Drosophila melanogaster: one gene and its partners. The protein of the gene in region 1 interacts with the protein of each later gene in a pairwise test. Each region holds a gene or a part of one and is shown in the gene's direction. Other genes may lie near its edges. The genes, in order: Rel, sqz, chn and akirin.

The links.
Region 2: the proteins of Rel (region 1) and sqz interact in binary tests that used the Drosophila melanogaster proteins (3 or more experiments, as listed by UniProt).
Region 3: the proteins of Rel (region 1) and chn interact in binary tests that used the Drosophila melanogaster proteins (3 or more experiments, as listed by UniProt).
Region 4: the proteins of Rel (region 1) and akirin interact in binary tests that used the Drosophila melanogaster proteins (3 or more experiments, as listed by UniProt).

Annotation. Positions count from the first base shown.
Region 1 is NT_033777.3:9,043,657-9,049,611, reverse strand, and holds Rel (relish), read left to right. Parts: upstream 1-1,634; 5' UTR 1,635-2,176; coding exon 2,177-3,088; intron 3,089-3,384; coding exon 3,385-5,388; 3' UTR 5,389-5,429; downstream 5,430-5,955. UniProt on the Drosophila melanogaster protein: Transcription factor that plays a key role in the humoral immune response as part of the peptidoglycan recognition protein (IMD) signaling pathway.
Region 2 is NT_033777.3:19,162,311-19,170,222, forward strand, and holds the start of sqz (squeeze), read left to right. Parts: upstream 1-1,900; 5' UTR 1,901-2,606; intron 2,607-5,534; 5' UTR 5,535-5,724; coding exon 5,725-6,078; intron 6,079-6,258; coding exon 6,259-7,512; 3' UTR 7,513-7,912. UniProt on the Drosophila melanogaster protein: Transcription factor involved in neuronal fate specification. First required in embryonic CNS development to define the number of cells that express apterous (ap) in the ap thoracic cluster of interneurons.
Region 3 is NT_033778.4:15,113,687-15,118,469, forward strand, and holds the start of chn (charlatan), read left to right. Parts: upstream 1-1,774; 5' UTR 1,775-2,002; intron 2,003-4,783. UniProt on the Drosophila melanogaster protein: Probable transcription factor involved in the development of the adult pattern of macrochaetae. Required for accumulation of achaete (ac) and scute (sc) in proneural clusters.
Region 4 is NT_037436.4:7,367,961-7,374,228, forward strand, and holds akirin (akirin), read left to right. Parts: upstream 1-1,882; 5' UTR 1,883-2,108; exon of another isoform or gene 2,109-2,224; intron 2,225-2,379; exon of another isoform or gene 2,380-2,590; intron 2,591-2,839; exon of another isoform or gene 2,840-3,065; intron 3,066-3,746; 5' UTR 3,747-3,874; coding exon 3,875-4,112; intron 4,113-4,202; coding exon 4,203-4,559; intron 4,560-4,620; coding exon 4,621-4,631; 3' UTR 4,632-5,751; downstream 5,752-6,268. Other genes in the region: Sh3beta, read right to left, coding at 1-24, 930-974. UniProt on the Drosophila melanogaster protein: Molecular adapter that acts as a bridge between a variety of multiprotein complexes, and which is required for embryonic development and for normal innate immune response.

The DNA of each region.
Region 1 (5,955 bases):
AATCATGTAACTGGTAATAAAAGCAACAAAAGTTGTTCTCCACGTCTTTAAGAATTTCCTAAATAAATATTTGTGCACACAAGGCGAACTTTTAAAAATTTTCATGTTGAGAAAATAAAATATGTTCAATATGTGTTTAGCTATTTTCCGCGTTGTTTCAAAATCGAAAATCCATATATGCACATATGTATTTGTTCCGTTTTAAGCCATATTTATATGCACACAGTTCAAAACTTTTATCGACAAGTGTTTAAAGCTTTTAAGTCGCGCTCGCTCGCACACGCATATTTAGTGCGCTGAACCGAAAAGCTTTTATCCAAAATATACAAACACGTGCGAGGCTCATTCAGTGATCTGTTTCGTTCTATACAGTCCATCGGTATCCGACAATCAGTGCAGTTCGAATTTTCCACCAGGAAAATTTCGCAAAAGCCAACAAAAGAAGTCACAATAAGGTATGCTGCTAGTGAAAATTGGCTAACAAAAATCCATAAAAAATACATAATTGACCTTCAAAGAAATTTGAATAGGCGTTCTTAAGACACGTTTGCTTTTATCAAGCCAAGAAAACGAATTTTCCTTTGTCCGCATAAAGAGCTAATTTTGTAGCCTGCCTATTAATAACTCTAGTCTAGACGCAGACTAGTGGTTGCAAAGTCAAGACCCCGATTTGTTTATGTTTTTCCTGCTAATTGATTATCAATATAAACAAACTCATCGTCAACTGATAAGGTGTAAAAGCATTTACACACACACACCCACACACCTTGGCATGGTAACAAGAGTAAGAGAGGAACGGCGAAGTGAGAAGATTGATTAACACATCAAAAAGTGCAAAGGGATCGTAAATACATACATATATACTCTAAGTGCAGCCTGGCAACAGATCAGCTGTTTCTGCGTGAGTGTGCGTGTGTGTGTGCGCGGGTCCAGTGGGAGTGGAAACCGACTGAATTGCAAATTAGTTCAGTGGCGCATGCTTATGTAGTTTTTTTTTATCATTTAGCACAAGTGTCTTAGGATAAAAGAACATTCCGGTGTTTTAAATTTTCCAACCATGTTGCGACGTTCTATAGGATCCATTTCGGTCTTGGCTTCCCGGAATTACGCCGGAAAGTCTAACTTCAGGTGTGTATGCTCATAAGAAAGTGAATCGGGTCCGAAATAAAACGTAATATCATACGAAGAAAAACAAAGCGTGCGCTAGAGATGAGTGCGTGACGAAAGTGAATTAAGGGAAAAGCCAATGGAAAGCGTAAAAATATATTATTAATAATACTAATATTCGGTACTTGCATTGCATAATTATTATTATTTTATAACACAGTTATAAGTTGTTACGCCGGTTCTCATTATAAATTTGTATTAAAATTCCTTATATCTTTATATTTATATAAGTGTTGTATTATTTATATTAATATTTTGTATTATATACCTTTATATCTTTTTGTCGAAATAGGTTAAATTATATTTATAAAAATTAATCAAGAATAATGGGAACAAACAATCGCGTACGCTTCCATCCCTAGATTTGTAGAACATCTGATTGGGGCGTTGCCACCCAACTCGTTTTATCTGCCGGTGGCAGCTCTGCCTTGTTTTTATTTTAGTGTGCGCGGTGTGTTGAAATCAGGTATTCAAATAAATGAATTTGAACCGTAGTTTCCGTGAAAAGCTGACCCGAAAGCTCGGCGCAAATAGCTTAAACCTGTTATCAGGGCAGCGAGCGTTTTGCTCGCAACTCGTGAGCGATACTACTTGTGTTCGCGCAGTGCTTCGTTCATTTTCGTTCCAGCAGTGGCGCACTAAAGTTCCCCGATTCGCTGCGTCGTTTTTCCATAAATTTGCATATATGTATTAGTTGGGTGGAATACATATAAACAGTGTGATTTCGCTCTGTAAACAACAACCGCGAATCCAGAATTCCGTACATGCTTATAGTATAGCCGATCAAAAAAATCACACTGAGTGGTGCGCCAGAAAAACCCGTGAGTCATCTCGACGTGGCCGCCGCAGATAATTTCCCATCCGCCGAACATCGGGGAAGTACCTAAAACGAATGGTCAGCCATCGGCGGAGCTCGTTTCGATCATTAGCGTTCCGATCGGCGAAGGCAGCGGATCACTTTTGAGTTGTTAAGACGCTATTGATCAGAAATATTGGATTGATACGGACTATGAACATGAATCAGTACTACGACCTGGACAATGGGAAAAATGTGATGTTTATGAACGATGCATCCAGCACCAGTGGCTATAGCAGCAGTACATCACCCAACTCCACCAACCGATCCTTTTCACCAGCCCACTCCCCGAAAACCATGGAACTGCAAACGGACTTCGCCAATCTTAATTTGCCCGGCGGCAATTCACCACACCAGCCGCCAATGGCAAACTCACCATACCAGAATCAGCTGTTGAACAACGGCGGAATTTGCCAATTGGGTGCTACCAATTTAATAAACTCCACTGGCGTTAGTTTCGGCGTTGCTAATGTCACCAGTTTTGGCAACATGTACATGGATCACCAGTACTTTGTGCCCGCTCCGGCCACTGTGCCACCGTCCCAAAACTTTGGATACCATCAAAATGGCCTGGCATCTGACGGCGATATCAAACACGTGCCGCAGCTGCGGATCGTTGAGCAACCGGTGGAGAAGTTCCGCTTTCGGTACAAGAGCGAGATGCATGGAACACATGGATCGCTAAATGGCGCCAATTCGAAGCGGACGCCCAAAACCTTCCCGGAGGTTACACTGTGCAACTACGATGGACCCGCCGTCATCCGGTGCAGTTTGTTCCAAACTAACTTGGACAGCCCACATTCCCATCAGCTGGTCGTGCGCAAGGACGATCGGGATGTGTGCGATCCGCATGATTTGCACGTGTCCAAGGAGCGCGGCTATGTGGCGCAATTTATCAACATGGGCATCATACACACCGCCAAGAAGTACATATTCGAGGAACTGTGCAAGAAGAAGCAGGATCGCCTGGTCTTTCAGATGAACCGCCGCGAGTTGTCCCACAAACAGCTACAGGAACTGCATCAGGAGACAGAGCGTGAGGCCAAGGACATGAACTTGAACCAGGTGGGTAAACCAGCGCGTAAACAATATCGAGTTGCTTGCTTCGATGAGGTGAATATGCACGTTTGCATTTATTATTCACACGTTTAATTGCTCACTTTAGAATGCTTTAGTCAATTAATTATAGGTTGCATTTGCTACCTTTTAATCTTTTTATTTAAGCAGTCTGTAAAGTATCTACTCGTTTAGCTCGAATTATATAAATTTCTCTGCTAAAATAACTGAGCAATATAACATCGAAGCAATTAACTTACTGAAAAGCAACAAAGAACTCACTAAAAAAGTAACACCAACTTTAGGTGCGGCTCTGCTTTGAGGCCTTTAAAATTGAGGACAACGGCGCATGGGTTCCACTTGCACCGCCTGTATACAGCAATGCAATCAATAACCGCAAGTCGGCACAAACTGGAGAGCTTCGCATCGTCCGCCTGAGCAAACCCACTGGCGGGGTGATGGGCAACGATGAGCTTATTCTACTGGTGGAAAAGGTCAGCAAGAAGAACATTAAAGTGAGGTTCTTCGAGGAGGATGAGGACGGGGAAACCGTGTGGGAGGCATACGCAAAGTTCCGCGAATCGGATGTACACCACCAATATGCCATTGTGTGCCAGACGCCTCCGTACAAAGATAAGGACGTGGACCGCGAGGTCAACGTGTACATCGAGCTCATTCGTCCCTCCGACGATGAGCGCTCATTCCCGGCGCTGCCCTTCCGCTACAAGCCACGGAGCGTAATTGTGTCGAGGAAACGCCGACGAACCGGGTCCTCTGCCAATAGCAGCAGTTCGGGAACAGAAAGCTCTAATAACTCGCTGGATCTGCCCAAAACGCTGGGCTTGGCGCAGCCACCAAATGGCTTGCCAAACCTTTCACAGCATGATCAGACTATAAGTGAGGAGTTCGGACGCGAAAAGCATCTAAATGAATTTATTGCTTCCGAAGATTTCCGCAAACTTATCGAGCACAACTCTTCTGATCTCGAGAAGATCTGCCAGTTAGACATGGGAGAGTTGCAGCACGATGGTCATAACCGGGCGGAAGTGCCATCGCATCGAAATCGTACAATTAAATGCTTGGATGACTTATTCGAAATTTACAAACAGGACCGCATATCGCCAATAAAAATCTCGCACCACAAAGTGGAGAAGTGGTTTATCGAGCATGCTCTGAATAACTACAATAGAGACACGCTCCTGCACGAAGTGATCAGCCACAAAAAGGACAAACTGAAGCTGGCCATCCAGACGATACAGGTGATGAACTACTTCAATCTGAAAGATGTGGTCAATAGCACTTTGAATGCGGACGGTGATAGTGCCCTGCATGTGGCGTGCCAGCAAGACCGAGCGCACTACATACGACCTTTGCTGGGTATGGGATGCAATCCAAATCTGAAGAATAATGCCGGAAATACCCCACTGCATGTGGCCGTCAAGGAGGAGCACTTAAGCTGCGTGGAAAGCTTCCTTAATGGAGTGCCAACCGTACAATTGGACCTCTCGCTAACGAACGACGATGGTCTGACGCCTTTGCACATGGCCATTCGACAGAACAAGTACGATGTGGCCAAGAAACTGATCAGCTATGATCGGACCTCGATTAGCGTGGCCAACACAATGGATGGTAATAATGCACTCCACATGGCAGTTCTGGAGCAAAGTGTGGAGCTATTGGTGCTCATTCTGGATGCCCAAAATGAAAACCTTACCGACATCCTGCAGGCACAAAATGCAGCCGGCCATACTCCCTTGGAATTGGCCGAACGCAAGGCAAATGACCGGGTGGTCCAGCTGCTGAAGAATGTGTATCCGGAGAAGGGAGAACTGGCCATGACCTGGATTCCATGTAAGGTCAAGGAGGAGATCGATTCATCGTCGGACGAAAGTAGCGATGCTGGTCAGCTGGAGATCAAGTCCGAGGAGATGGACATCGAAACAAAGGACGAGGATTCCGTGGAGTTGGACCTAAGTAGTGGTCCAAGAAGACAGAAAGATGAATCCAGTAGAGACACCGAAATGGACAACAACAAATTGCAGTTGCTGCTCAAAAACAAATTCATTTACGACCGGCTCTGTTCGCTGCTGAATCAGCCTTTGGGACATGGGTCCGATCCCCAAGATCGGAAATGGATGCAACTAGCCCGCCAGACGCATCTGAAGCAGTTCGCCTTTATATGGCTGGGCGCGGAGGATCTGTTGGATCACGTGAAAAGAAAAGGAGCCTCTGTAGAGTTTTCCACATTTGCTCGTGCCCTGCAGGCAGTGGATCCACAGGCTTACGCCCTACTGGTTAACCCAACTTGATTATGTATTGAATGTTGATCAATAAAGTACCTTAGTTTTACAAATACTATTCTCTTGTGGAATGAAAAATACGCGAAACTAGGATGCCTGGGATAGCAAGCTTTATTTTTAAATATCAGAGCATTAATTTATTTTCCTTTATTAGCATTTATTTAGTTTCCTTTATTATTCCATGGAATCTATTCTTTAGAATAGTTCTATAAGCAATCTAAACTTGTTCCCTCAAACAATTACCATCGGCGCCCTGCATGAGATCACTAGCAAAAGGGGATCCATCGATAGCTCGGCATTAAAAAGTACATTCTAAGAATGGGGAATCACTAATTTTTCATTGCCGCTCGCGCACGCCGCTTGGTAAACAAGTGGGTGAATCATACATGTACTTATGCGCCTAAGTGTGTGTTGTGGGGGAATTACTGTTGCGTAACTGCAGTGACAGGCGGGGATTTACCGACAGCCCTTATCATTCCCGGTTTATGACCTTTCCTGCTATATTTTTTCAAGAATATCGCAACTAAATAATGTTTTAAGGAATAGTACAGTGTAATCTCATTCAATTAAATAATA
Region 2 (7,912 bases), about 10 Mb from region 1:
ATGCTTATCGAATGTCAGGGCTGGAGATAAGCATGTGGCGTTTGAAACAAATCATATTGTTATTCATGTTTTGAAAATATCTACAATTAATGTAAAGGTTGTTCTAATTTTGCCAACGATAACTACAAAACATATATGTTCTATCCAATATATTTACATACAGGGTATCAAATTTACAAATAAATTGGCAGTGTGGCCATACGTTGCGAGCAAAAATTACTGTACTTCAAGCATTGCCAACACAAGAATATTTTCATGGTTAAAAATTTTGGCGCGATAAAGCCGCAGTTTAAAATGTCAAAGTGTGCGCGTTCTTGGAGGTTTACCAAAATTTAGAATCATGCTTTTATTTATCGTGCATAAGTTGGTAAATTGGAATTAAATCAAGTTTTTTCCAATTTGTTTCTGGTGTGTCGTTTGTTTTGGGGTCTGTACGGCTGCTTTAATTAAAAAATATTAAAATGAAGCACGCTATTCTTTAAGGACTTTAAGGAAACGTACCTTTCTATGTTTGCCCAGGAGTTGATAGACGATATCAAGGCTGAGGATCGCATCCTACAATGTCCTTGGTGCGAAGAACAGACGTTGAGTCCATCAGCCAGCACCCGGAAACTTTTGTATTGGCTTTTAACGCTTTCAATTCGACTTTCAGAAAAGAGTCTCCTCGAAAATCACGACTGATATCCATGTAAATGAATCGGTAGATACTTGCACTTTCTTTTTAGTTATTAAAACTGACACACTGTCACTTTGCAGGTTTTAACCGCTGGCGGAAATGAAGAAGGAATCCGGGAATATTCATTTCAGTCCATTGTGGTGCACAGCGGAACTCCCCTCAGGAACAATCTTAGCCCACTAAACATCAATAAACTACTAAAATAACTTTGACTGCTGCTTAATTTCAAATATACATAAATTAATATTTTTTATTTTTAAGTTAAATTTTTTAATTCTTTTGGAGGCTCAAATTTTATATTTGGCGCAGCACTTTAATGTAGAAAATGTGAATAAAGAAATATTTCAAGGGTAAACAACAAAAAATGTTTTGATTTTGTAAAAAAAAAAACCTTAAAAATTATGAGGAGTTATAAAATAATTATCAGTTTCCGGAACTTTAAAATTCTTATCTTCAATTTGATCTTCAAGACATATTTTTCTTATAATAATATTATCAATAATATTATATAATATGTAACGGATATTTAAGTTCTTCATTTTCTTTTTCAGAAGTATTAACAAATGCATATATATAAATACATATATATTTATACAATAGAATCGCATAGGCATGAATTCAGCGCGCAAAATAATATAATTACAATAACATTGATATTATATAATAGATTATAATAATATACATATGTAAGTGTAAGTTATAAAATGGTAACAAAGTTCAACAGCTCATAGGCGAAGATCCAGTGGCACGGAATTTTCAATACAGCCAGGAGAACATCCTAATATTTTGGATAAACTCTTTGTGCCACTGTTCCGGGTGATGTGCATCATGTCCAGCACGGAGGACCTTATGTACCACTATTGCTGTTTCCTAGATTAGGATTCGCTAAAAGCTTAAATTGTAATTTCAGATTCCCAAAAATAGAAAATACCGCCAAAAGTCAGGGCAATGGCACTGCAGAAAGGATGCAGGATATTATATGTTCTTTTTGTTTTTCTCTCCCCAGAATTTGGCCCAATTAAATTTGGTATTCGAAAAAAAGAGCACGCCTCCTCCCCGAAACCGAAAAAAAACTCTGTGGCGCCGGGAACAAAAAAGAGCGCGAGAGAGTGAGAGCGCACACATAAAAAACATAAACAAGCCTTTTTCACTAGTGTGCGTTTGTGCGGAGAGAGAAGAGAGCGAAAAACAACTTCTGAAAAAAGACGCTCTTCGCTGTGATTTTTTTTCAGTCAGTTTTTCGACGGTCGTGAACACGAACAGTTATTCTAGCTCCTCCTGTTCTGCTGCTTCTGTTGGTGTTTTTTTGCGTTTGCCGCGACGTAAACAACCGAAGAGCGGAGCTTACGCCCCCAACTGCTCCAGCTCCACGCCCCCCTCGCAACGTGTTCGTTGTAAATGCAATTAATCGTTGTTGGTCGCTGAAAAAACTAATATTTCGGGAGTCCGATACAAGAAGGGCAAAAAAGCACAAGTGCAGAAAAAGCAAAAAAAAACATAAGCTTGCCGTGTGTGTGCGTTGGTGTGTGTGTGTATTTTTGGCGTGCGCGGCCATTTTTTCTTGTTGCCACTCGAGAGTCTCTTCTGTGTGCGAAAGAGAGGCCCGACGGCAAAGCAGAACGTAGCAAACTACGCAAATCCCCACTAAATTCGCTAATTTTCGCTAAATAAATCAATCGCAAGGGGTGCCCAAAAACAAACAAAAGTACGAAAATAGAGTGCCGCAGACCACAAACAAATCACCTGCGCCAGTGTGTGTGAGTGTGTCAGTGTGCGAAACAGGCAAGCTCCCAGGCGGGCTCCCACCCACAATCAGTCGGCGAACACGTGCTCCAAAATATCAACAAAAGTTGGCCCACAAACATAAAAAAGGGGGCCGCGACTGCATCCGAGACCCGAACGCCGGAACACAAAAGGCACTTTCAAATTGGTAAGTACTTTGCGCTGCACGAGCATGTTTTATTTATTTGCCTTATTGGTCAAACACACTTGCGATTGCGGTGTTTGTTTCTCTTTCCCGCGCTCACGCACAGTGGTCGCTTTTGTTATAATTGTGAGACTTGAAAACGATCGCCGTAAAATTCACATTTTTAACAAAATATTTACTGTTCGAAAGAGGGGTTTTTTGCGAATCGATGATTAGTTGACGTGTTATTATGAGAAAAACATAAAAGATTATAGGACATTATTTTTTTAAAAATGTTGCAAAAATGATTTAAAGTTTGCGATTTCCTTGTTAAATAACATGAAAGCGTTTACAGTTATTACTATTACAAAATTATAACGATTTAATATGCATATCCTTTATATATTAATTGCTACTTGAAAATTACCTAATGTAAAAACTTATATAAAGCAAATGAATTACAATTTATTTATTGGTTAGGACTCTATATCCTATTTTATAAAAAAAAAATAATAGCACAATTTCCAAAGTGTTTGTCCAGTGTTCCATTGGTCAAATACTTATTGTTTCCTTATTTCCGAATCTTCGCTATTTGGGGAATAAGTCAAAACCTTTAAACTCCAAACATTTGTAAGCCGAATGCGACTGTCAACAAATAATTAAACCAGAATAATTTCAAAAGCGTTTTGCAGTCGTGCCGCACTACTTGACCATTCCGTTTAGTCGCTTGTTTGACTTTTTATGCTCGTTCCCATTCATTTGGTGGCGGTTTTTTTTTCATTTGTGTTTGTGTGTCGATGTCTTTTTATCTTCCACTTTTTTCGTACTCATCAAATATTCGCTTCTTTTTTCGCACACATGTCGCCCCCAACAAAAGAGAGTGAGAGAGCAGTCCGATTGCGGTTGTTGCGCTGTTGTTGTTGTTCGCTCGCTCGTTCGTTTGTTTATGCTCGCTCTTTGCTCTCTTTTGTTTTCAGCTGCTCGCGCTCAATTAATTTTCGTTGATTCGTTTTTTGTGTGTAGGTTTTTTGTGTATACCATTTTATTTATACGCTTTTTGGGCTTCTCTTTCTCGTGTTTTTCTTTTTTGGGGTTTTCTTCTTTTTTTTTTTGTTGTATTTTTGGGGACTGACCGATTGCGTTTATTTATCCCCAATTTCCCCATTTGCATTCATTATGTTGAGCGGTCAATTTCCCGTGTTTCTGGATCTGTTGTTACACGGTTGCGATTACGATTCCGGCTTCTGTTTTATATTGCTCGCCACTTTCGCTTATTTCATATTACAATTGTTTGTTCGGCAAACAATTGTTTGCTTGTCGCCCCGTCTCGCTCTAAATGTGCGCAACAAGCGAGTGGCGCGTCCTTTTATTTTCTGCATTACATGGCCGCCCTCCCCCTCCCCATCTTTACACAGAATTCCTGCTACCATGCTGTTCAATTGTCCAACGTCAGCATTAACAACAACAACAACAAAGGCAGAACCGGTTATTTTGACCAGGCAAAACCAAAAAAAAAAAAGCCAAAAATTGAATTTACCTCTGACGTCAACACCCACCCGACCAAAAGGTCGTATTCAAATTCGCGCTCAGAATACAGTTTCCATTTCACAAGACCTGATTTTGCGATTTATATGCAACTATTTACTTATAATGCGTTATGCACATAAACCAATGTTGTTTAAATTAATTATGGAATACTTGGACATTTTTACAGACATAAATACATGAGTTTGAAAACCTTATTTCGTATCAAAAGTCACGTGTTTTATGCACATTATAAATATTTCGGAGACTTAAAATTAGTTAGTTAAAAGCCAAAACTGAATCCCAATTCGCATAATAATACCGACATTTTCTAGTGAAGATAAAAGCTATGATTAAAGATTTGAGTAATGACTTTTGCCTGTTTATTTGTAATGATACTATAGTTATTTGTATTTGTCAAATTTCAAATTATTCGTATGTTTGCATGAATGCACTAATATTTTATAAATATTTTTAAAACAACGCATTTAATGTTTTTAATTGAGCAATAATTGCGACGCATTGTTATTCAGCGAATTATCAATTATTCATCCCAGCTGAAATATTTAAACGCCCTTAAAAACTTTAAGTTTCATTACATTTTATCGCAACGTATTCTTTTCAAATACGCTTCCGTTTTGATTTAACGAGCAACAACTTCTGAAATAGATAATATATTCTAAGAAAATTGACCATTTTGGCGTAATTTAAAGTAAGATATTATTAATTCTTTTTAACTTTGACTTAATATAAGTTTGGAACACATTCTTTTCATGTGTTTTTTACTGTTGCATGGAAATCCCACATTTTAAGTAATTCATTTGGGATTTACAGACCAAGAACATCAGTGGTCCATTGGAAACCCGGCTGCATCGCCCTAAAAAGTGGCAGAGATGTAGTTGCATTCAGTTCTCGAGGTTGTTGACACGTTCCGTTGGCGCCCCTGACGTTTTTTGCCTTTTTTGCTTTTTTTTTTTTTTTTGCCTGCCCATCGTCACCTGGCCACAGAGTAATCGCGATTTTGGTTCTTCGGGCCAGAATGCGATTCCATTTCGCTTTCCATCTGGTGGTTGTCACCAACAATTTCTGGCCGCAAGCGCCTTTTTTGTTTATCTTGTGATTTTTTCCGTTGACTAACTCTTTTTTGCCCGGCATTGTTATTAATTCTCTGCGCTTTTTGCGCCCCATTGGCAACTTTTTACTGGGTTGCAACAGTTGTGCTTTCAGTCAGTACCTTCTGCGCGCAGCACGTTTAATTCACAAACAATTAATTAATTCATGCATATTTATGTTAATGTGCAGAAATTAATGTACCCAACGGCGGGGAGTGGAGCGGCCAAGTGGCAGAATCGAAAAGTAGTTTAAGCACTTGTGCCGACTGGGCACAAATTTGTGGATTCAAGAATTACAATATTTCTGTACTTTCAGCACAAAAACGCGCCGAGTTGTGTAAGCCCGCCGCCAGTGAAGTGTCGACTTCCCGGCGACGAAGACCGCAGCAATATTTCCACTAGCCAGTAACGCACAGGCTCGTTCCGCCGCTGACGACGACCCCAAACTGGACGCCCGCACCATCGCCTACCGCCCGCTGACCCTTGGCGGCCACCAGACGCCGCTTATGGCCGAACTGCCGACGGCGCCGAACGGCGTCCCCAGCGGCGATTATCTGCACCGCTCCATCGATCAGCTGCGTTCGCTGGGTCATCTGACCACCGCCCAATTGGTTCACGACTACAAGCCCTTCAACATTAGCGAATTCCGGCAGAATGTCGCTGAGCGACTGGACTACTCGCTGAAGAACGGCCTGGTGCAGCACCAACAGCAAATGGTCATGGAGCAGCAGCCACATCCCGATCAGCAGCAGCAGCAGCATCTGCATCACCCGCAACAGCAGCAGCACCCGCCGCAGCTGAAGGTCAGCTACAGTGCGCCCAACTCGCCGCCCACTCCACACGAGCAGCAGGAACAGAAGGTAATCACTTATTTCAATATTGAAAAAATATATCATACGCATATAAATGTTACTGATATGATACTTAAATTGCGATCTTAATATTTCTTCGGTCAAAGATTATATGACTTTGCTTTAGTAACCCATTCATCGTGTACTTAATACTAAACGATACCCTTAAAACGTTCTATCTACTTCCAGTACGACCCGAATCGATCGCCGCCGCGTCAGCAGATGAGCAGCGCTAGCGGCAGTGGCAGCAACGGCTCCTCGCCTGAGGAGGAAAGCCGACGGGGAGACGGTGATCAGGCCAAGCCCTACAAGTGTGGCTCGTGCAGCAAGTCCTTTGCCAACTCCTCGTACCTGTCGCAGCACACGCGTATCCACCTGGGGATCAAGCCGTACCGCTGCGAGATATGTCAGCGCAAGTTCACGCAATTGTCGCATCTCCAGCAGCACATCCGTACGCACACGGGTGACAAACCGTACAAATGCCGGCACGCCGGCTGCCCGAAGGCCTTCTCGCAGCTATCCAATCTGCAGTCACACTCGCGTTGTCATCAGACGGACAAGCCGTTCAAGTGCAACTCCTGCTACAAGTGCTTCAGCGACGAGATGACCCTGCTGGAGCACATTCCCAAGCACAAGGACTCCAAGCACCTGAAGACGCACATCTGCAATTTGTGTGGCAAATCGTACACGCAAGAGACCTACCTTCAGAAACATCTGCAGAAGCACGCAGAGAAGGCGGAGAAGCAGCAGCATCGCCACACGGCCCAGGTGGCTGCCCACCAGCAGCACGTACCGGCGAGCGGCATCGGCTTGAATTTGCAGCGCCAGGCCATGAACGATGTGAATGCCGCATATTGGGCCAAAATGGGCGCAGACAGTGCGGCGGCTTCGCTGGCGGAAGCCATTCAGCAGCAGTTGCCGCAGGCCGGCGGTCAGCCGTATGGCAACTTTGCATCCCTGCAGCAGCAGCATCAGCAACAGCAGCAGGAACTGCTGCATCATCAGCGATTGGCAGACACGCCGGGGCATTCGCATAGTCCTCACGAGGAGGCCGCGGGCGAGGATCTCGTCCTGCGCCAGTCAACACCACAACATCACCTTCAGCAACAACAGCAGCAGCAGCAACAGCAGCAGGCCCAGCAGCAACAACAAGCGCAGCACCAGCCATCGCCTGGACCGGGAAACTCGGCCTTCACTCCACTGTCGGCGACAGTGGCTCCACCGCCACATCTTCAACAGCATCGCGGTCCGCCAGGATCCGCCGCTGCCTATCTGTATCAGCAGAATGCGGCGGCAGCAGCAGCGGCTTTTCCCACACAGCTCATCTCGCTTCACCAGATCCGAAACTATGCCCATCAGCCAGGAGCGGCGGGTCTCATCGCTGGCGATCATCTCGCCTTGGGCCTGAGCGCTGTTAATGCCGCCAAAGAAAAGGCGCAATAGTACAGGCCGTCAGGTCGGGGCCAAAAGAGGCAGCAACGATGACATTAGCTTAGGATCAACGTTTAAGTTGGTATGGATACAAGAGCGTGGTATTTTATTCTCTTTGAATCCATACCAATTGAAACACTGAAAGTAAAATAAGTTACTCATAGTTTCCAGTTGGCAGTGGCATAGGAGCTGGGATTGTGACTGGTTTTTCTTAAGCATCCTTCCAACTTCCAAATTCATCATGAAACTTGTATACGATTCGGCCAAAATCAACTCCATCACTGCCCAAAACCAATAAGAAAATCAACTGCAATCCTACAGTTTCTGTGCTATTTTCAACTGCCATATGAAAGTAATATGTAATATCTAGATCAACTCAGGATTTTAAATACGATAATTATGCACACTTTTA
Region 3 (4,783 bases), on another chromosome or scaffold:
TTTTCGAGACAGTTGACGTTGCAGAAAATTCTCAAAAATGGAGATGAAAAATCCTGTATTTTGGTGTGTGTGTGTGTGTGTTTTTGTTTGCGTGTGTGAGTGCAGCTGAAGAGGCAACTGTAAAATTAGGTTAGCAAAGGAGTTTTGGGGTCTGTGGTGTGGGCTATGGGTTATATGGCTGACTATGTGGTCACATGTGCAATTTGATTAAAACTTGGGTGCCGCTAAAAAAAACTGCTGTCCTCAAGTGACGGAAAAAGTGGACGAAAAAATGACGAAAATCTAAAAATGAACGTCGTCATGGCTAAGTGGTAGCCATTTTTTACCTGCAATCGTTTTGCCACTCGACTGAATGGTTTTGCGGCTAGGGCAAAAACATAAAATCCGCGAAAATTAATTAAAGATTGCGCACCTTACGCTAATCTGTTTTAATGAAATTCCCTTTTATGTTTTTTCTTGGCCTTTAAAGTGGAGTGGGTCATCCTACAGATGAATAAATCCTATTTTTTGTCTGCAATGTTCTCTTTCAATGTATCATGTCAGTACTATTTAATTAGTATTTTATTATTAATGTATTATGCAAAGCTGCTGGCCTTCTTAAAATAAGTAGTACATTGTACTAATAAACCAAGATTATAATATTTTATATATCGAGGATTAAAACAGTTTTTGTTTGGCAGCTTTTTGGCAAAAAATTATAAATACGAGTGAGCATTTTAAAAACATTTTACAAATTGACAGAGTTGGCATGACTAAGCATTGTACATGGCTATAATCCAGTGAATATGTTTATTGATCAAATAAAATTAATCAAATAACCGTATGTAGAATTCTAGGTGGTAACTTAAACTCTACAAGTGTAGCAATTCGGAAAGCAGCTCCAAAATAGTTCGCAATGGGTTAGTGACACAGCTAATATTAGAAGGTAGTAATCGTGTATGATGTAATGTAAAATTATTGTAAAATGGAACCGGAAATGTAATTTTTAAGGAGGATTGCAAATGAAATTCAATTTCAATAGCATTCTATGTAATGGAAATTCTTTTAAGCTTAACAAATGAAAGCTTAACAAATAAGAAAATTGGTCTTTAAAAATCATATGTTGTTGTTTAATTAGTCAAATAATAAATTCAACTATTATTATACTTACAGATAATTAAAAAAAATAAATAACTTAAGAGATTTTTTGCTGTGGCCTTTTTTCCGCGCTGAATACAATTAATTCGATGTTTTCGGATGTTTTCGGCGCGACTATCGATAATACCCCGATACTGACAAATAAAAAATAAATTATTTTTTTATTTTAATATACTCTTTCTTAATTTAAGTCAATTAATAAGTCTATTTATATATTAGAATCGTTTTTTTAGCTTAGTGACAAAGTTTTGCCGGAGAGTCCACTTGTTATGCGTGGGAGCGTGAGCGTTGCGGAATGCGCGCGCTTTTTGCAATTGTGGAAAGCGGAAAAGCGGAGGGGTGTCAGAAGAAGAAGCAGGGCGGCGCAGACAGGAAGCTTTTCCCACAATTGCACAACGTCGGAGAGGTATTATTATTACGCGACAGGCAATCGGCGCGGCAACAACAGCAAACTAAGCAACGCATCGCAGACGCAAAAACAAAACTAAATATTACAACATATTTACTTGGCCCAATAGGGGGAGGGACGGGAAATTTTCCGCCCAACCCATCAGCCACCCCAAAAGAGTGGGTGGCGGAGAATCGCCGTAGGATCCGCTCCTCCGCGACCATTCATATTCATTCAGTCACGAAATCTCATTCGGTGTGTGAGTGTTGATGAGGTTAGTTGTGAAACGCGGTCCGTTCTCGTTAAGTCGGAAAACCGAAAAGTGCATCAAGGAAATCATTTAACAAATCAGTGAAGTAAATTAATTTCCAGCTGCAAAGGAGAAACACAAACCTACTAAACAGTGTGCCGCGCGAAAAGAGGCGAAAAAGTGTTGCATACTCCGGGGCTGGCTGCAAAACCTCCGCTAACATGTTGGTAAGTTGGTGAATAAAATATTTTAAAACAAATCGGATCAGAGTAGCATGGAGTATCTATTAATTGATTTTCCTGGGAGGGGGGGCCTTTCCATATCTATTTTCCAAGCCAAGTGATTTATTGATTTTTCCGCAATGCGTTTGTGTGTGTGTGTGCGTATCTTTTTCGGTATGCACTTTTTCCAGAGAAACATCCCACTGGGGGCAGCAACCCCCAACTAAAAAGCGCCAACTTCTATTTTTCCTTCATCAATACTTCACACAAACACACACACGCACACAGTGGAATAAAAACAAATGGTATTGGTGTGTGGATTGGAGCAGGCGCTCTATGCAACGGTATAGCAACCCCCAAACAATGCACAACCCACCCTCTTTCTCGCTCTCGTTATGGCTTTGAAGGGTATTACTATCCCGCTCTCGCGACAATAGCTCAACTGTTTTGGCATTTGAAAACTAACTGCCGCCCCCATCCCCCCGCACCCACCTATCGTAACCCCCTTAGTTTCTCGCTCCTGGGTGGGTGGTTGTTTTTCACAGCCGGAGCACATCATAAATTTTGTGTCTATAACAATTTTTGTTATATTCAACCACCCCACCCACCTACCCACCACCCCAAAAAGCGACCCACACCCCTTATCAAAAAAGTGCAAAGGAATTGTGTTGCACTTTCGAGAGTTCAACTTCCGTTCGTTCACTCTCGCGCTCTCTGGGAAAATAGAAAATAACGGCACAGGCTTGCGCTCTCTCCAAAGAGAGAGATGCATTTTCATTTCGATTCGATGGGGGGTTTTGCATATGATTTTTTGGGGTTTCGGTTTTTATGCAACATATGCGACTACATATGTATGCATATGTATGTAGGAGTTATATAATTTGTATTTGATTATTTTGCCTTTGACGAATTCCGTTTGTGGCATGGTGTTTTCAAATGAAAACTAAAAATGTGTGGTTTTTTGTTGCCATGGGCAATATGGTGAAAATTTGTGGGTGGCAATGTCTGCTGCAGAATGCAAATAACTGCATTCGAGTGCTTTATATATATATTTATATATATAAGATTATATTCCCACGCACATATTTTATACATTTATATATTATATGGAAAATGCAATTTGTATGCAGTCGAATTGCACTTGCCCGGGATTATGCCTATATAAATAAATACTATGTACGGGGTAGGGGGATACCGGCAACGGAATTTCGTTTCATGGCGTCTCCATGGATTATATATAGAAATTAGTTGTGTTTTTGAAGCTGCTTACATAGACTGACAGCTTAATTGCTTTTTACTCGTCGACAAAAATTGATTTTAAGCTCGAGTTAAACGAAGCCAAGCACTGGAAAATGCCTAGAATGCAACGCATATTCCTTTAGATTGGAAAGTAAAGGGGTGGAAAACGGAAGCAGACTATAAGACAAAGTTAAGCAAGTTCGTTAAGCAATAACAACTAAGTGAGTTCGTTAACCCAACAATACATGACAGCATTGTTGAAAACTTTGACTAAAATTGGAAATCATTATATTAGCGATCACTTTCTTTTATTTCCAAAAGAACCTTATGTACTTTTTGAACTTGATTCTTTGGTAGTCACTACATAACATGAAAAAAGCGTAGCGATCATTTGATTTTATTCTTAGCCGCAAACTGACTATTTCCTGTTGACTTCATTTCATTCACACTCCCCACGCTGATGATGATGATTGAAAAAATCACCCAGGGGCCAAGACCCAGTGACTCACCCGACCGCAAGGCAAGCCAAGCGGAGACTGTACCCAACCCAATGCTCAAAACAAACCCAGTCTCGAAAACGCACACACACACACACACACTACCCACCCACTCAGACAAAGTGGATTCGAGTTGGGAGTTCGGAGGGAGTTGCGCATGCGTGGCCGTGTCCCACGCCCACTCGTCAAGGGGTGTCTCCACATAGGAAAAACATTTACGGAAATCTAAAGATTTGCTCTTTGAAATTATGTTAGAACTCACTTGATCTATAGGAAGTCACAACTAGTACTACATTTTCATTGTTTGAATCCTATATCAACGGGATATAACAACATATAGGCAACGTATTATAACAAATGCCTACATAGACAGTATGCAAATTTGTACCAATAATGTCCCCTCTTTTTTCTCTGTGCATGTTGGATGTGAGATAGTGTACGTATATAAAGGGTTGGAGCGAACTATACAGTGGGAACCAGTGATCGCACAACCACCCCCGGGGTTCCCAAGTTAAATGAGACGTGACAAAGTGCAAGAGTTTCGACCCCTTTGAGAAGTGCCAGGCAGATTTCCTCTTCACAAGTGGCGCCCAAAATGGGAAGCCCTATTCCAGCGAGGAGACTTTCTCCCAACTGCAAAACCGAAGAAGGGCTTCGTCTTCAGGGGCAACAGGTTTTGCTGGCCGTAGGAAGCCATGTGCTGCTGTAATTGGTCAGGCTCATTACGGGGATCGTTGGTTATATCACAGCTTGCACCGGGCCAAGGATGGACTAACGGGTCCACCCAGGCCCAGTGAGCACTGCCTCCGAAAGAACCTCTCAGGGGGATTCGAGGTGGCCCACATGTTGTCCACTGACGGCTGCTCACGAACCGGTTCCAGTCACCAGGCAGCTCCTTTATCCGCGATCATCATCATCTCCATTTCCATCACCACCATCATCATCATCTCCTTGGCCGGCCACTTCCACTTGAGTGGCAATGAAGGCAAAGTAGGGTGCTCAGGCTGCTCCATTTCGAGGGTTAACCTGTTTGCAGTTACCCTACGGTTGA
Region 4 (6,268 bases), on another chromosome or scaffold:
AACGCGCTGCTGGCGCTTCTTCACCTGTAAAATTGGATTTCGACGGTCAGTGAAAGCATTTAAATTTGAAAAGAAAGTTAAAAATTAAAGTATATAAAATACCTTTAACATGTATCGTTTTGTTCAGTGTAGCTACCTTTGACAACGCTGTTAATTACAGCGATGACAAATCGCTAATGAAGTGTTACCGGCAAGCCCAAACGCACACAAGCGCACACAAAGCCAACTCCCCGCCGATATAAACATATGTACGTAAAAAGAACGCCAGAACCACGCGATATGATAAGGCTAATTAAAATGGTTTGTTGCACCCCAGCATTTATCTTACGATAAGAATATGTGTTTCCCAACGCTTTTTTAAAGTGTACAAAGACAGGACAAAAACAAATAATTGTGAACCGTACAATGACCGTTATGTTTTTGTTCTTATTGGAAGAGGAAGATTGCCAATTGAACAAAGGCACCGAAAGAGTGAGAGGGGGAAGTGAATCACCCCTCACGCATGTACACACACACACACATGCACACGCACCCACGCAACTGCGATCAATGGAAATCCCTCTCTTCCATGAACAATTTACAGTTCACAGTGGAATGAGCTTATATGGGCAATGAAATGTATGTTTGTTCTGCTTCTTGCCACCACTAACACTCGCACACAAGGGCACTCACGAAAATACCCACTTGTTTTTCTTTGACTGTACAGACATACAGACTTACATACCACACACTACATCATCATCATTGTCCAACTCACGTACATACACACAAAGACGAAACGCAGCAGAAGAAATAGAATTTGCAATGCGTTCGTCACCACTTTAGTTTGCTTCTTTTCCTTTTTATCTGTTTGTCGCTAATACCAGGGCCAAACATTCCAATAACATGACACTATTTCGGTTTTAAGCCCGCCACGCCCACAAACTCACCTCCTTATTGCCGGACATGCCGCTGACGTAGACTTTCAAGACCATTTTCGCAGATTACTGTGTCCTCGCACCGCAAATGAAATAATATTTTGCAACTAAAATCTGCTGGCTACTTTCACGGCGATTAAAAATATTTATAGATCTTTTCTTTTCCTGCTTTCTTCCGTCCTGCGCCCCTACGTAATGTTTTTCCACTGGTGACGAAGGCACACGCACTGGGCAAGGTCGTTGGTTTTATTGGCTGTAAAAACGGCAAAGACGCGGATAAAAAAATTGCCTGGCGACGCTTATAAAAGTGCAAAAATATTTGATATCAGGAGTGGAAAATATTTCCTACTTTGTCGTTGAATTGAATGGTGGGACCGCGCATTGACGGCTATAGAAAACCTTCCGGCTTATCAAATATACTAAATATGATGCTTGATTAAAATACTAAAAACTTTGAACTTAAGTGATATTTCAAAATTAAATATTTTTAAGACAACTTAAATTTTATTATGCTCCCATGTAAGGTTTTCATTTTTTAAACGTTCTTCGATTAATAATCGTAATAATAAAATAATAATTTATAAAAAGCATAAGATAGGCTTTTTAAGGTTTTTTAAAAGATAGAAGAAAAGGATTCTTATTATAGAACAAATTATTTTTAATTTGGCGTCGATGAGTTAGCGGCTTCAAGGAACGGTGGAATTTAGAACATGAGGGTGTTTTTTATTTATTAATTTTTTGTTACTTGGAGTTGAATTCCATAAAAATAAAAATGCAATAATGCTAACTTTCTACAAACGACTTAAGGTTATAGGACTCAAGAAAGTACATAGAATATGCAATTGAAAAATGTTCTCCCCAGACTTTTCGGTTATTTGAAGTTTTTGCTATATTTGGTAGAACCATAAAGTATTTTTTGGTATAGATCCGTTAGCAGGGCAACCAATATTAGCGGTCGCCATGCGGTCACTCTGTTCACGTCCCGTCACGCAAGCATCGTCGTCCATTTTTGCTAAGAAGCGAGACGAAAATTTGTAAATTATATCTAGCGAGTCGCCGAGGACGAACAACTATTGACAGTGCATTTCAGTGGCCTTTGGAATACTGCTCAAACAACCAGCAAGCAATAACATTACTTATATCTAACCGAAAACCTAAATTAATCACCCAAACTGAAGTACGGACGTGAATGTAAGTGGGTATGTGCCAGCGGACTAGTGGCACAATAAAAAAGTAAATAAAGCGCGTGTGAAGTGGTGCAGAAAGCAAAAAAGCAGTCGGAAGGAAAAATCAAAATACGCATTAATGTAAGTGCGATTGTTGGAAAAGCTGTTTAACTTTTTGTTCCTCTGAAAAGCTGATAATGATATGCGATGCGACCATTTTTAAAATTTCATGAAATCAACATTCCAACTCACAACGGTGTGCGTGTGCGTTTCTTTGTGTGCGTGCGTGTGCAGGCTAGAGTGGGACAACCAGTGTGATCGCTTTGGCTGCTGCCATTTCGTTTGCTTTTTTTTAAACTAATCTCTGGCATTTGTCACGTAAAAGAGTATAACGTTAAACCCAAAAACGTTTTGTATATGGCTTTAAATATTTAATAATTGTGGGCAGAGACAGCAACACCAGCAGCAGACGCATACACACGTGTTGCGGTTTATCGAGAGGGCAGTGTGCGTGTGTTAGTGCGGAAAACAGCTGGTACAGCTGCCGCTGCAGCGACGAAGAAGAAGAAAAGAAAGAAAGGGGAAGAGTGAGAAGAACACGCATTATTATCCTGCGTAGTTTTCTTTTATCGGTGGTTGTTCTGCTATTGGGTTACAGTTTACACTTTTCTCTGTTTTCTTTATTTTCCCTCTGCATTGCTATGCATTTTGCCTTTGCGTGGTGGTTTTTTTTATTTTCATTGTCGGTCGTCCTTTAATTGCGCTGCGCCACTTCGTTTCGTCGCTTTCTTTGGCTGGTTTCTCCTTCTCTTCGGAGTTTCTGGATTCGTATTCCGATTCGGTATCGCCCTTTTCCTGCGACAACAGCAGCTGGGTGCACGGTATCGGAGCTGTCGGCGATAGCCGAAAGAAGCTAGAAACCCCAAGGAAGCCAACATCCTTTTAATTGTCGTGGAAACTATAATAGTCTCATAAAAATTAGGTTTTTAAAATGGTTTTGTCATTCTATTCTAGAAAAAGCTATGAATATAAGAATATAACAATATGTTTAATTGCTTACTAATTTTATTGAACAATATAATTTAATCGTGACGAAATGGGGGAAAAAAAACATTTTTTTGTTGTCTTGAATTTTTTTTCCTCTCTTGTCATGATTATTTAGGTAAAACGGACGTCATCAAAGTCATTAAACTTACGCGAACTTCGCATTTAAAAGTTTTTTACTGGCATTTCTATTTTTAATAGCTTTCTGGGGAAAATATCGGATAATAGCTTTTCAAATTATGCATTGCTAGCAACTTTGACTAGCGAAAAGTATTTACTAAAAATTTTTGTACCTTCCTATTTTCGGCGCTCTTTTTAAGCAAAGGCCCTTGTTTTGTAGCGTTGAAGCCTCAAATTATTTCCAAAATCACGCCCCATAAGCGATAAGATAAGAGAGCGTACAATTGTTGCCCACGATACATACAAGGCGAGAAAAAGTCCAAATTGCCAGCATTGGCGGCCATAAATCGCTGCACCATTTTCTTTTATCGGCTGCGTGTGCGTGAGTGCACGCCTGTGAATCCTGTTTTTTCCTTGAAACCAGTTTGCGTCCGTCTTTTCTTTGCCAGCAAGGTGTTCACTTCACCTTACTCATTCATTGTTTGTTTGCCCATTGCAGCCGACGCTTGATCTTCCATCTGCAGCATCCATCATTTGGAATCGAGGCAATAATCAGCATCTACCGACAATCAAGCAAGCCATCTATCTATCAGAAGACCACCGGGTAGTAGAACCTCAATCATAGCGATGGCCTGTGCAACCCTGAAACGAGCCCTAGACTGGGAGTCGATGAACCAGCGGCCTCCGAAGCGCCGGCGTTGCAATCCCTTTGGCCAGGCTGGGAGCAATGCAGGTCCAGCGTCGCCATCCCGCGACGGTCCCAGCACCTCGGCTGGTCTGCCCCACACGCCCAGCAACCGATTCGCCAAGGATAGCACCGAACCTAGTCCGTTCAGTGAGTCGTCGCTGGCCAAAATGTCACCAGGTTAGTAAATCAGGTCGATGCTGGAAAAGGGACGTCGGATTCCTTTTATGCATATTACCTTAATACACCTTTCTTCTTTTCGAAACACAGACAAAATGGCCGAGAGCTTGTGCAATGAGATCAAGAGACTGCACAAGCGCAAACAGCTGCCGATCACTTCGTCGGCCTTGGAACGCATGCAGGATTCGGAGTCCAGCGGATCGGAGATGGGTCCAGAGAGTCCGCGCCGCCCGGACAGTCCACAGAACCTGATGCGCCACGGCGAAAAGGCCCTGTTCACGTTCAAGCAGGTGCAGCTCATTTGCGAGAGCATGATCAAGGAGCGCGAGAATCAGCTAAGGGAGCGCTACGAGTCCGTGCTGACCACCAAGCTGGCCGAGCAGTACGATGCCTTTGTCAAGTTCACATATGATCAGATACAGCGTCGCTACGAGGCAGCGCCTAGCTGTGAGTTCAAGTTACCATCGGTCATGGTTATAGTGCTAATTACATTATATTTTTATTTCAGACCTGTCGTAAAGCTGTGTACACAGCTGTAGCCTCAGAAAGAAGAAATTAATAATTGCACTACGATCTTATGTGACGGTAGATCTACCGCGACAACAACAGCCCTCATAAACTATAACAAACAACAAATAAGGAAACTAAAGCAAACGCAAAACAAACCAACAAAAAAAAAAAACCTAAAAAGCAAAAAACCTAAAAACAAACAAAAAAAAAAAAACAAACTACAACATACATCGTGTTTAATATATTTTGAAATACACGCGAAGAAAACGGTTATAGTTTATGCCTAGATTTACATATATATATTGTATCGGTTAGCAGCAAAGGGATGAATTATTTAAAAGCAAGCAAAAACCACAAAAGAGAGAAACCAACAAACCAACTTGTTAAATTTATGTTTTTCACATAACGCAAATTCTAAATAAAATGACAAATATCAAATTATGAACTATATGAACTATAAGCACACCGCCACTGCAGACATATACATATGGGTGCATCCGTAGAGAGAACGATTCAATGAAACCTCAAACGTAGCTTCGTACATAACAGACCGACAGAATTGGCAAATATATAATGTTAGGCACATGATGTAGCATATAAGGTATGATGTAAAACCTATCAAACTACATATATTGTTTTTTTGGAAATTGTAATTTATGAAGCGAAGCAACAAAGATAACTCACAACTCATGAAGAACACTTTTCATAGTTTATTTTTGCATATTAGTTGTAACACTAAGGCGAGAAACGAACGCTTGAATTTGCCTATTTTCTCGAGTATCGTTTGTTAATTGTTTCTTCCTTTGATGCGAATTATTGCAAAGTAATGTAAACACACAAAACAATTGAAATGTTTCGATTTGCTTTACACCATACAAAAATGAATAACGAAAAGAAAAGGCAAACAACAAAAAAGGTATAAAAGTTATTCATTAAGTTAAATTGAACGCTTTCTTATAAAATACGCTTGACAGAAGATGTTTCATGTTCATTGCAATTATTTTTTCACACCTTGAAGAATATATACGAGAATATATGATATATATATATATATATATTTTTCAATTACCGCAATCATACATACTACTTTATATTAGTAATTTAAACTTAAAATTAGTAAAGAAATGCCATTTTTATATTAAAACAAACAAAAATAAAATGATGAATTGTAGATGCCCGCTGGTCTTTTCTTTTTAAAGCTTTTTATTCTGTTTGTGAAGCGAACTCTTAATTTCATCCGTTTATAAACCACAATATTCTTTTTTTTATACCAACCCGTATTATCCGAATAAAACTCAATTGGTTCTGGTTGCTCCAAATCCAGCTAATGCTAAATGATTAACCAGGTTTTTCAATATAATTTGCGAATCTAGCAAAACTGCCATAGGTGGGGAAAAGACTGAGCAAAATGAGAGATACCTTTTGTGCAAAACTTTCCATTTGTGAATAAAATTATGAATAACCTTTACAGTGGCTTCTCCAGACTCTGAGAATATTCATTTTGATTTATTTAATGTGTTTGTGCGTTCAACAGAAACTTTCCAAACTTAACACTAGTTAACTAAAAATACGCTTGATTCACATGCTTACAATTACATAATAATGCATTAAAAAGTCTTCAATAATAAATACATTTAGTTCAAAAC